Mus musculus: one gene and its partner. The protein of the gene in region 1 interacts with the protein of each later gene in a biochemical or structural test. Links are inferred from orthologs where the notes say so. Each region holds a gene or a part of one and is shown in the gene's direction. Other genes may lie near its edges. The genes, in order: Racgap1 and Ect2.

Region 1 (3,819 bases):
CACACCTCAGAATACTGGAGGCATGCGCTTGCACGACTTCGTCTCAAAGACGGTAAGTCTGACATGGCTTCATTTCTTCTGAGGCAATTAGTGTGATTTTGGAGACAGATTCATTCTTTGTAGCCCAGGTTGGCCTCCAGCTCTGTTGTACCTTCTGCTTTGGCCTCCAGCATGCTGGGATTGTAGCACCTTCTCACCTCTCCTGTTTGGTTATCTTTTTATTTAGGGGGCTGGGGACATTGTTTCTTTTTGTTTAGCTTGTTTTGTTTTTTTCAAGACAGGATTTCTCTGTGTAGCCCCAATGCTATTGGAATTCCATCTGTGTCAGGCTGGCCATGAATTTGAGATTTACCTGCCTCTGCCTCCCAAGTGCTGGGATTAAAAGGGTGAACATCTACACGAGACTTTATTGGGCTGATTTTATATACACTCACATATGCTAATTTTATTCAAAGAAAATGACTGTTTTCTTTCTTTTTTTAATATATTTTTAATTTTGTTTATTTATTATACATAAGTACACTGTAGCTGTCTTCAGACACCCCAAAAGAGGGCATCAGATCTCATTACAGGTGGTTGTGAGCCACCATGTGGTTGCTTGGATTTGAACACAGAACCTCCGGAAGAGCAGTCAGTGCTCTTTCTTACCTGCTGAGCCATCTCGCCAGCCCAGAAATGACAATTTTCCATGTCCCTGCTGAGTGGGGGCGTGCACATGCCATGGCTGGTTCTCCCTCCACCATAAGCATCCTGGGGATTGAACCCAGGCCATTCGGCTTGGTGGCAGTGCCTTTACCCACAGGACTTTTGGTAGAGCAGTTGATGCTCTTAACTGCTGAACCATCTCTTCAGCAACCCCCCCTTTAATTTCTTTAAAATTACCTTCATGATATTGCTGATCTTAGTGTAGGGTGTCAGGTCATTTGGAGTGGGAACTATAGGCAATTGTGAGCTGCCCAATGAGTGCTGGGAATTGGATTGTGTGCTTTGCAAGAATAATAAGTTCTCTTAGGCTCTGAGTTGTCTTTGTAGCTCCATTGGCCTCTGCCATGCTGGAATTATAGGTGTGAGCCACCGTTGCCTGGCTTTGCTCATCCATTTAAATGTACAACCTGCTGACATTCAGCGTAGTCATATAATTGGGTATCTGTCAACAGTAGCAATTTTAGAACAGTTTTACCCCCAAAAGTGAAATCCTAAACCTAATAGAATTTCCCCCACTGTCCTATGCCACACCAACATCCAGTAGCCATTGGCTGCCACCATAGACACCACTCTTGTCTCTATGGGCTGTCTATTGTAAGACATTTCCTATACACGAGGCATATAGTATGTGTGCCTTTGTGTCTGGCCTCTCTCAGTCAGTCACCCCTTCTCTAGCCTGTTTGTTTTGTTTCTCTTTATTAATTTGATGAATGATGTCACCTATATGGAAAGCATATGCCGCATATCCATCCATCAGTGGACAGAGCTTGAGGGTTTTCTATCTTCATCTGCTACATATGTGCACAAATGTCTCGTAGACGTTTTTGTTCCTGTTGGATATGCGTCTCTAGAAGTGGTGTTGCTGGGTCGTTTTGTAGCTATGCTTATCTTTCTGAGGTTCTCCTAGACCTTCCCTCAGGTGGCTACTGTATTTTATTTTACATTGCTGAGTAGTGTATGACTTTCAGCTTCTCTAGATTTTGTCAACACTTACTAAACGTATGACAAGCTCTGTTCTTTGAGAATTTCAGACATGCATGTAGTGTGTGGAGACCCCGTTCTCTGGCCCTCTAAAACATCTCAACACGCTGCCGCACTCAGCATCATGTCCTCTTTTTATTTTTTAGTAATTAATTGCGTCTCATTAGTGCTGCCGTGTATGCATAGGTATGAGGATTCATGCACTGGAGCACGAGAAACGTCTCTGCAGCCTCCAGAGAACAGCCACTCCTACGTTCTGCAGCACGGGTCGGGGAAGGGCTCCTAAGGATCCACCCCTAACTGAGGAGGGATTGGCAGTTGGCCTTTTGTCTTTTTTTCTTCATCTTCCTCCTCTTCTTTTTTTTGAGACAGGGCTTCATTTTGTAGCCCGGGTTGGTTTTGAGCTCACAGAGATCCAGTTGCCTTTGTCTCCTAGGTACTTGAATTAAAGCATGTCACCATGTTCACCAGAGCACTGCTATGATTAAAATGAAGAAAACAAGACCTATTTTACAGTTTTTGTTGTTGCTATTGTTGTTGTGGTGGTGGGAATTATTATATTAGCATGTGTGATGGGCCTAAAATGTTGTTTCATACACACTGTGCGCTTGATGCATGTGGTTGACAATAACTGTTATTCATATTATTCTATGCTTCTGCCCTGTTGTATCTTCAGGTTATTAAGCCTGAATCTTGTGTTCCGTGTGGAAAGCGGATCAAGTTTGGCAAGCTGTCTCTGAAGTGTCGAGACTGTCGTTTGGTCTCCCATCCAGAATGTCGGGACCGATGTCCCCTTCCCTGCATCCCCCCCCTGGTGGGGACACCGGTTAAGATTGGAGAGGTAAGTATCATGGCAGCCAACCACCATTTGTCTGTAAAAGGCATAGTGTCAGGTTTTTATTTTAAAATTATTGATCTTAAAAAAAAAAAAAAAAAAAAAAAAAAAAAAGCCAGGCATGGTGGCACACGCCTTTAATCCCAGCATTTAGGAGGCAGAGGCAGGCGGATTTCTGAGTTCGAGGCTGGCCTGGTCTACAGAGTGAGTTCCAGGACAGCCAGGGCTATACAGAGAAACCCTGTCTCGAAAGAAAACCAAAAAAAATAAAATAATAATAATAATAAATATATATATAAAATTATTGATCTCAAATAAAATTTCCCTCCATGAAAAATGAATAGAAATAGTAAAATGTCAGAATGTTGTTTGGACCTTTCTACAGCAGGTCGTCGTCGTCGTCGTCGTCGTCCCCCCCCCCCCCCCCCCGCTCCTAGGAAGATCTCACACATGCACAGTAGCCATTCTTATAGCCTACCCCTGGCTCCTACCATTTAACTTTACAGTCGTGAACTCAAAGCTGTTCTTGTCCTCGATCTTACCTGGTGAATTCTTTCTTATTCTCTTTCTTCTTATTATTGTTATTAATATTTTGATTTTTTTCAAGACAGGGTTTCTTTGTGTTTCCCTGGCTGTCCTGGAATTTGCTCTGTAGACCAGGCTGGCCTTAAACTTGGAGATCCACCTGCCTCTGCCTCCTGAGTGCTGGGATTAAAGGCCTCTGCCACGATGCCTGTTTTATTTTATAAAAATTATCAGTTTATTTAGGTCTAGTCAAAAAACTCAAAGACTGATTTAATTACTATTATGTATGTGTGTGTGTGTGTGCATGTGCATACCAGAGCCTCTCTAGCTGTAGTTACAGGTGGTTGTGAGGCATGGGACATGGTCCTTAGCACTAGAAAGAAGGTGTGAAACTCTGGCAGTGTCAAAGCTGTTGTGTACTAAGGTACAACTTGTGTATTGTGTGTAATAAGTGCCTTGACTGTACTGTTATTCCAAATGTAAGTCCATCATCTTCTCAGCTGTGGAGCTTCTCCAGGCTGCTTTTCCCTGCCAGACCATATCACAGAGCAGCCCTGACGCTCCTGTACGGGGCTTTAGATGCCAGCACGAAACTGAGTAGTGGTTACTTCTTGTTGAGTGCAGAGCTAATGTAGGCCTAGCCAAGACTCGAGAGGGAAGAGATTGTTACCTTCAGTAGGCAAGGGGTATACTGGGATCATCCGCTCTCAAAGATCTCCAGCTCAGGATCCAGACTCAGAGATCTGCTTCCCTCTGTGCCACCACACCCAGCT
Region 2 (3,819 bases), on another chromosome or scaffold:
CCTAAATCAAAATACATGTACTTACATTTTTTTAAAAGTGTAGCCTAGTGGCTCATATCTATAATTTTATCACTCAGTAGTTCATGGGTAGAGTGCTTGCCTAGCATGCTCTGAGTTCTAGGTTTGATCCCTATTACTACCAACAACTAAAACTACAACCCTGGAAAGGAAAGTACCTGGTGTTCTATTCTAGTACCTGGAACTTACTGTGCATGCTAGGTGGCTTATAGACCAGAGTCAGAGAGCCTGTGCTTATGTCTTCAGAGCAAGGTCTTAATGTGTATGGGGTTATATGACGTATAAAGTAGAGAAATATGATTCTACACTGTTATATGTTATGTTGGTAATTATAGACTTTAACAGTTAAAATTTCTAAAAAGATGTCAAAAAAATACAGGAGTCAATTTTAGGGAGTCGTATATTATTTTATATGACCTATGAATTATTTTTATTTGTAATAACTATGAAAAAATCCAGGAAATGAAAGTGCCCTGTGTAAAGATGGACTCAATGGAAGAATTTGAAAGTTTGGATTCCCCAGAATTTGAGAATATATTTGTAGTTACTGACTTCCAGAATTCTGTCTTCAATGACTTATACAAGGCTGATTGTAGGATTGTTGGGCCACCAGTTATACTCAACTGTGCACAAAGGGGAGAGGTAAGAAACGTACGTTTGTCATCTCAAGAATACATTTTTATTAATGCATTCTTTGAAAATTTATAATTAGAAAATGCTGTTAATTGTCGAGTACACGTAGCACTTAGGATAAGAATAATTTGTTGTTGCTGGGTATGGTGGCTCATGCCATGAGTCCTGGCTTCCAAGAAGGTGCACACATAAGCCATTCTCTTTTCCACTTAAAACTAGTATTATATCCATTATCATACGATTTAAATTAGAAAAATTATTTTAGGTTTTTTCTTTTTCCTTTTCTTCTTCTTCTTCTTTTTTTGTTTTTGTTTTTGTTTTTGTTTTTTTGGAACAGGGTTTCTCTGTATGGCCCTGGCTGTCCTGTAACTCACTCTGTAGACCAGGCTGGCCTTGAACTCAGAGATTCACCTGCCTCTGTCTGTGAGTGCTGGGATTAAAGGTGAGCGCTACCACGCCCAGCGCTTTTTATTTCTTTTTGATGTGTATTTGAATGAGTATGAAGGTGTATGTGAGTGTGTGAACCTTGGGTATTGAAAAGTTAACTGGTGCCAGGTGTGGTGGCACATGCCTTTAATCCCAGCACTTGGGAGGCAGAGGCAGGCCTGGTCTACAGAGTGAGCTCCAGAACAGCCAGGGCTACACAGAGAAATCCTGTCTTGAAAAAACAAACAAACAAACAAACCAAAACAAAAGACAGAAAAGTTAACGGGTAAAGAGTGAAATCTTTAAGCATGAGGAAATGCTTTCTCAATGCTAACGGAGAAGGAGGCTCATGAGTTTGGAATTGTGTCCTCCAGCCCTTGCCGTTTTCCTGCCGGCCGCTGTATTGTACGAGTATGCTGAACCTGGTGCTCTGCTTCACTGGATTCAGGAAGAAGGAGGAGCTTGTAAGTATGAGACCCTGACCTAGTAACGCAGGGTTAGATTGCATCCAGCCATCATTTCTGTTTGGTGTTGTGACGTCATTTAAAAACTCATGTTTGTAAGTGATAGTTGGCCCATGAATTCCTAGAAAGTTGCATAACTGTGAACTCTTTTACTCTCTTGTTAATTATTAGTTATACTGGTCAACTGAAGGTTTGTAACAAAATGAATACTGCTTTAAAGCAAGCTAAACTTTAAAGTACTTTTACCTTGATGAATAAGCCATAGAAACTTTTTTTGGTTCACAATTATTTCCTAAGTTGGAACTAGTAAGTATTACTGTAATTTTGTGGGAAGAATGTTGATGTTATATAACCTGATATTAAAACTCAATATTTTGGTGCTGGAGAGATGGCTCAGTGGTTAAGAGCACTTGCTGCTCATTAGAGGACAAAAGTTTGGTTCCCAGCACCCGTGTCTGGTCTCAGAGCTGCCTATAATAGCAGCTCTGGGGGACGCTGCTTCTGGCCTCTGTGGGTACCTACTTGTGTGTGTGTATACTCTCAGACACATAAATAAAGATAAAGTGTAAGAAAAGAAATTGATATATTTGTTTGTGGGTATATGGCTTTGGCTTCAATTCCCAATATTGTTAAAAAAAAATAGAAGGTGAATAAATGAAAATACTACATCTGTGTGTTTAGGCAGTATCAGAGTTGGTTGCCTATTATTAGCTTAATACTCTGTGTATTGCTTATCTTTGTTATAGATTTACATGTAGCAAGAACTACTTTTTTTTAACAAGCTACTCTTTTAAAAGTGTTTTTTTAAAGTTTTGTAAAGTAGTTAATGCTAAATGACTTAGTACAAATTTTGCTCAAATTAATTAAAATCAATTTTGTTTAATTTTTCTTTTGAGGTCAAATTGGTGACGTTGGTTCATCATATGGGTGGAGTTATTCGAAAAGAGTGTAATTCCAAAGTAACACATCTGGTGGCAAATTGTACACAAGGCGAAAAATTTAGGGTATGTAAGCTTACTGTTTTTGTCTTTTCAGTATAGTATTACTCTGTAATGTTTATTTTGAGACGATCATATACCATTTAGAAACGATTGTGTAGGCCAGGTTAGCCTTGAACTCATTAGTATCCTCCAGTTCCCAGCTCCTTCATAGGCATGATCTACCAAGCCTGGCTTGTGTCTAATAATGTCACTCCTCTGTTGATGGTACGTTTTTTTGAGGATCAGATGGAGGTTGTCATTGGAAAGTCAGTAAAGGGTTTGTGACATAGCTTAGCTACTGAGTGCTTGCTTAGCACACATAGCCCAGCATACCTGTCCTGATAGTGCACGAGTATAATCCCAGCATGGAGACCACTGTGGAGACAGGAGAATCAGTTAAATACTGCCTTTTCCTGCTGTTTGCAGTTAGCCGGTGTTATGTAAGTCCCTGTCTCAAAGATAAAACCTTGAAGGAGACTGAAGTTAGATGTTGAAATGTGTGATGTGGGCTGGGCATGGTGGCGCACGCCTTTAATCCCAGCACTTGGGAGGCAGAGGCAGGTAGATTTCTGAGTTCGAGGCCAACCTGGTCTGCAAAGTGAGTTCCAGGACAGCCAAGGCTACACAGAGAAACCCTGTCTCAAAAAGCCAAAAAAAAAAAAAAAAAGAAAAGAAAAGAAATGTGTGATGTGAGGGGTGGTTGGTAGGTAGTATTGGTAGTAAAGGCTGTATGACCAGCAGTGGCAGCTAGGTCAAGGAGTGAGAACAGATATTTCACTGTTGGCTTTATGAAAAGAAAGCCCTCTTAGAAAACAAACCTGTGTCTTTGAATGTCTAAATTATCTATATATTTTCTTAAAAAGAATTTTTTAAAAAGGAGAAAATATTTTATATTTTTCTCTCAAGAGAGGGTCTTTTTATGTTTGGATTTTGTTTGTGATAGGGTCTCTATTTTTGTAACCCTGGTTGTGGATAGACCAGGGGGTCCTGAAACTCAGAGAACCCCCCCTTCTTCTCAAGTTCTGGGATGACAGGTATGCATCGTGTCTGCCCATGTTGCCTAGCCTAGCCGCAGACTCGTTATCTTTTGCCTCAGCCTCCCAGGGGTTGGGATTATTGTACTATGCTACTGTGTCACCTGACACTAACTTACTTGGGTAGGAATCTATTGTCAGCTGCAGTTGAGTTGTGCATTCGATTTATTTTGGGTGTGTCTGTGTTTGCATGTGGGTGTGTGCTTGTGCCATGGCCCATATATGGTCAGAAGACAGCACTGCGGGTACAGGTTTTCTCCACTC

The links.
Region 2: the proteins of Racgap1 (region 1) and Ect2 form a complex in vitro, tested with the Homo sapiens proteins (3 studies listed by BioGRID and IntAct, with this or other methods). The link is inferred for Mus musculus from reciprocal best matches to the Homo sapiens genes RACGAP1 and ECT2.

The regions. Positions count from the first base shown.
Region 1 is NC_000081.6:99,627,342-99,631,160, reverse strand, and holds part of Racgap1 (rac GTPase-activating protein 1), read left to right. Parts: coding exon 1-52; intron 53-2,362; coding exon 2,363-2,527; intron 2,528-3,819.
Region 2 is NC_000069.6:27,143,678-27,147,496, reverse strand, and holds part of Ect2 (protein ECT2), read left to right. Parts: intron 1-477; coding exon 478-660; intron 661-1,451; coding exon 1,452-1,541; intron 1,542-2,437; coding exon 2,438-2,545; intron 2,546-3,819. UniProt on the Homo sapiens protein: Guanine nucleotide exchange factor (GEF) that catalyzes the exchange of GDP for GTP. Promotes guanine nucleotide exchange on the Rho family members of small GTPases, like RHOA, RHOC, RAC1 and CDC42.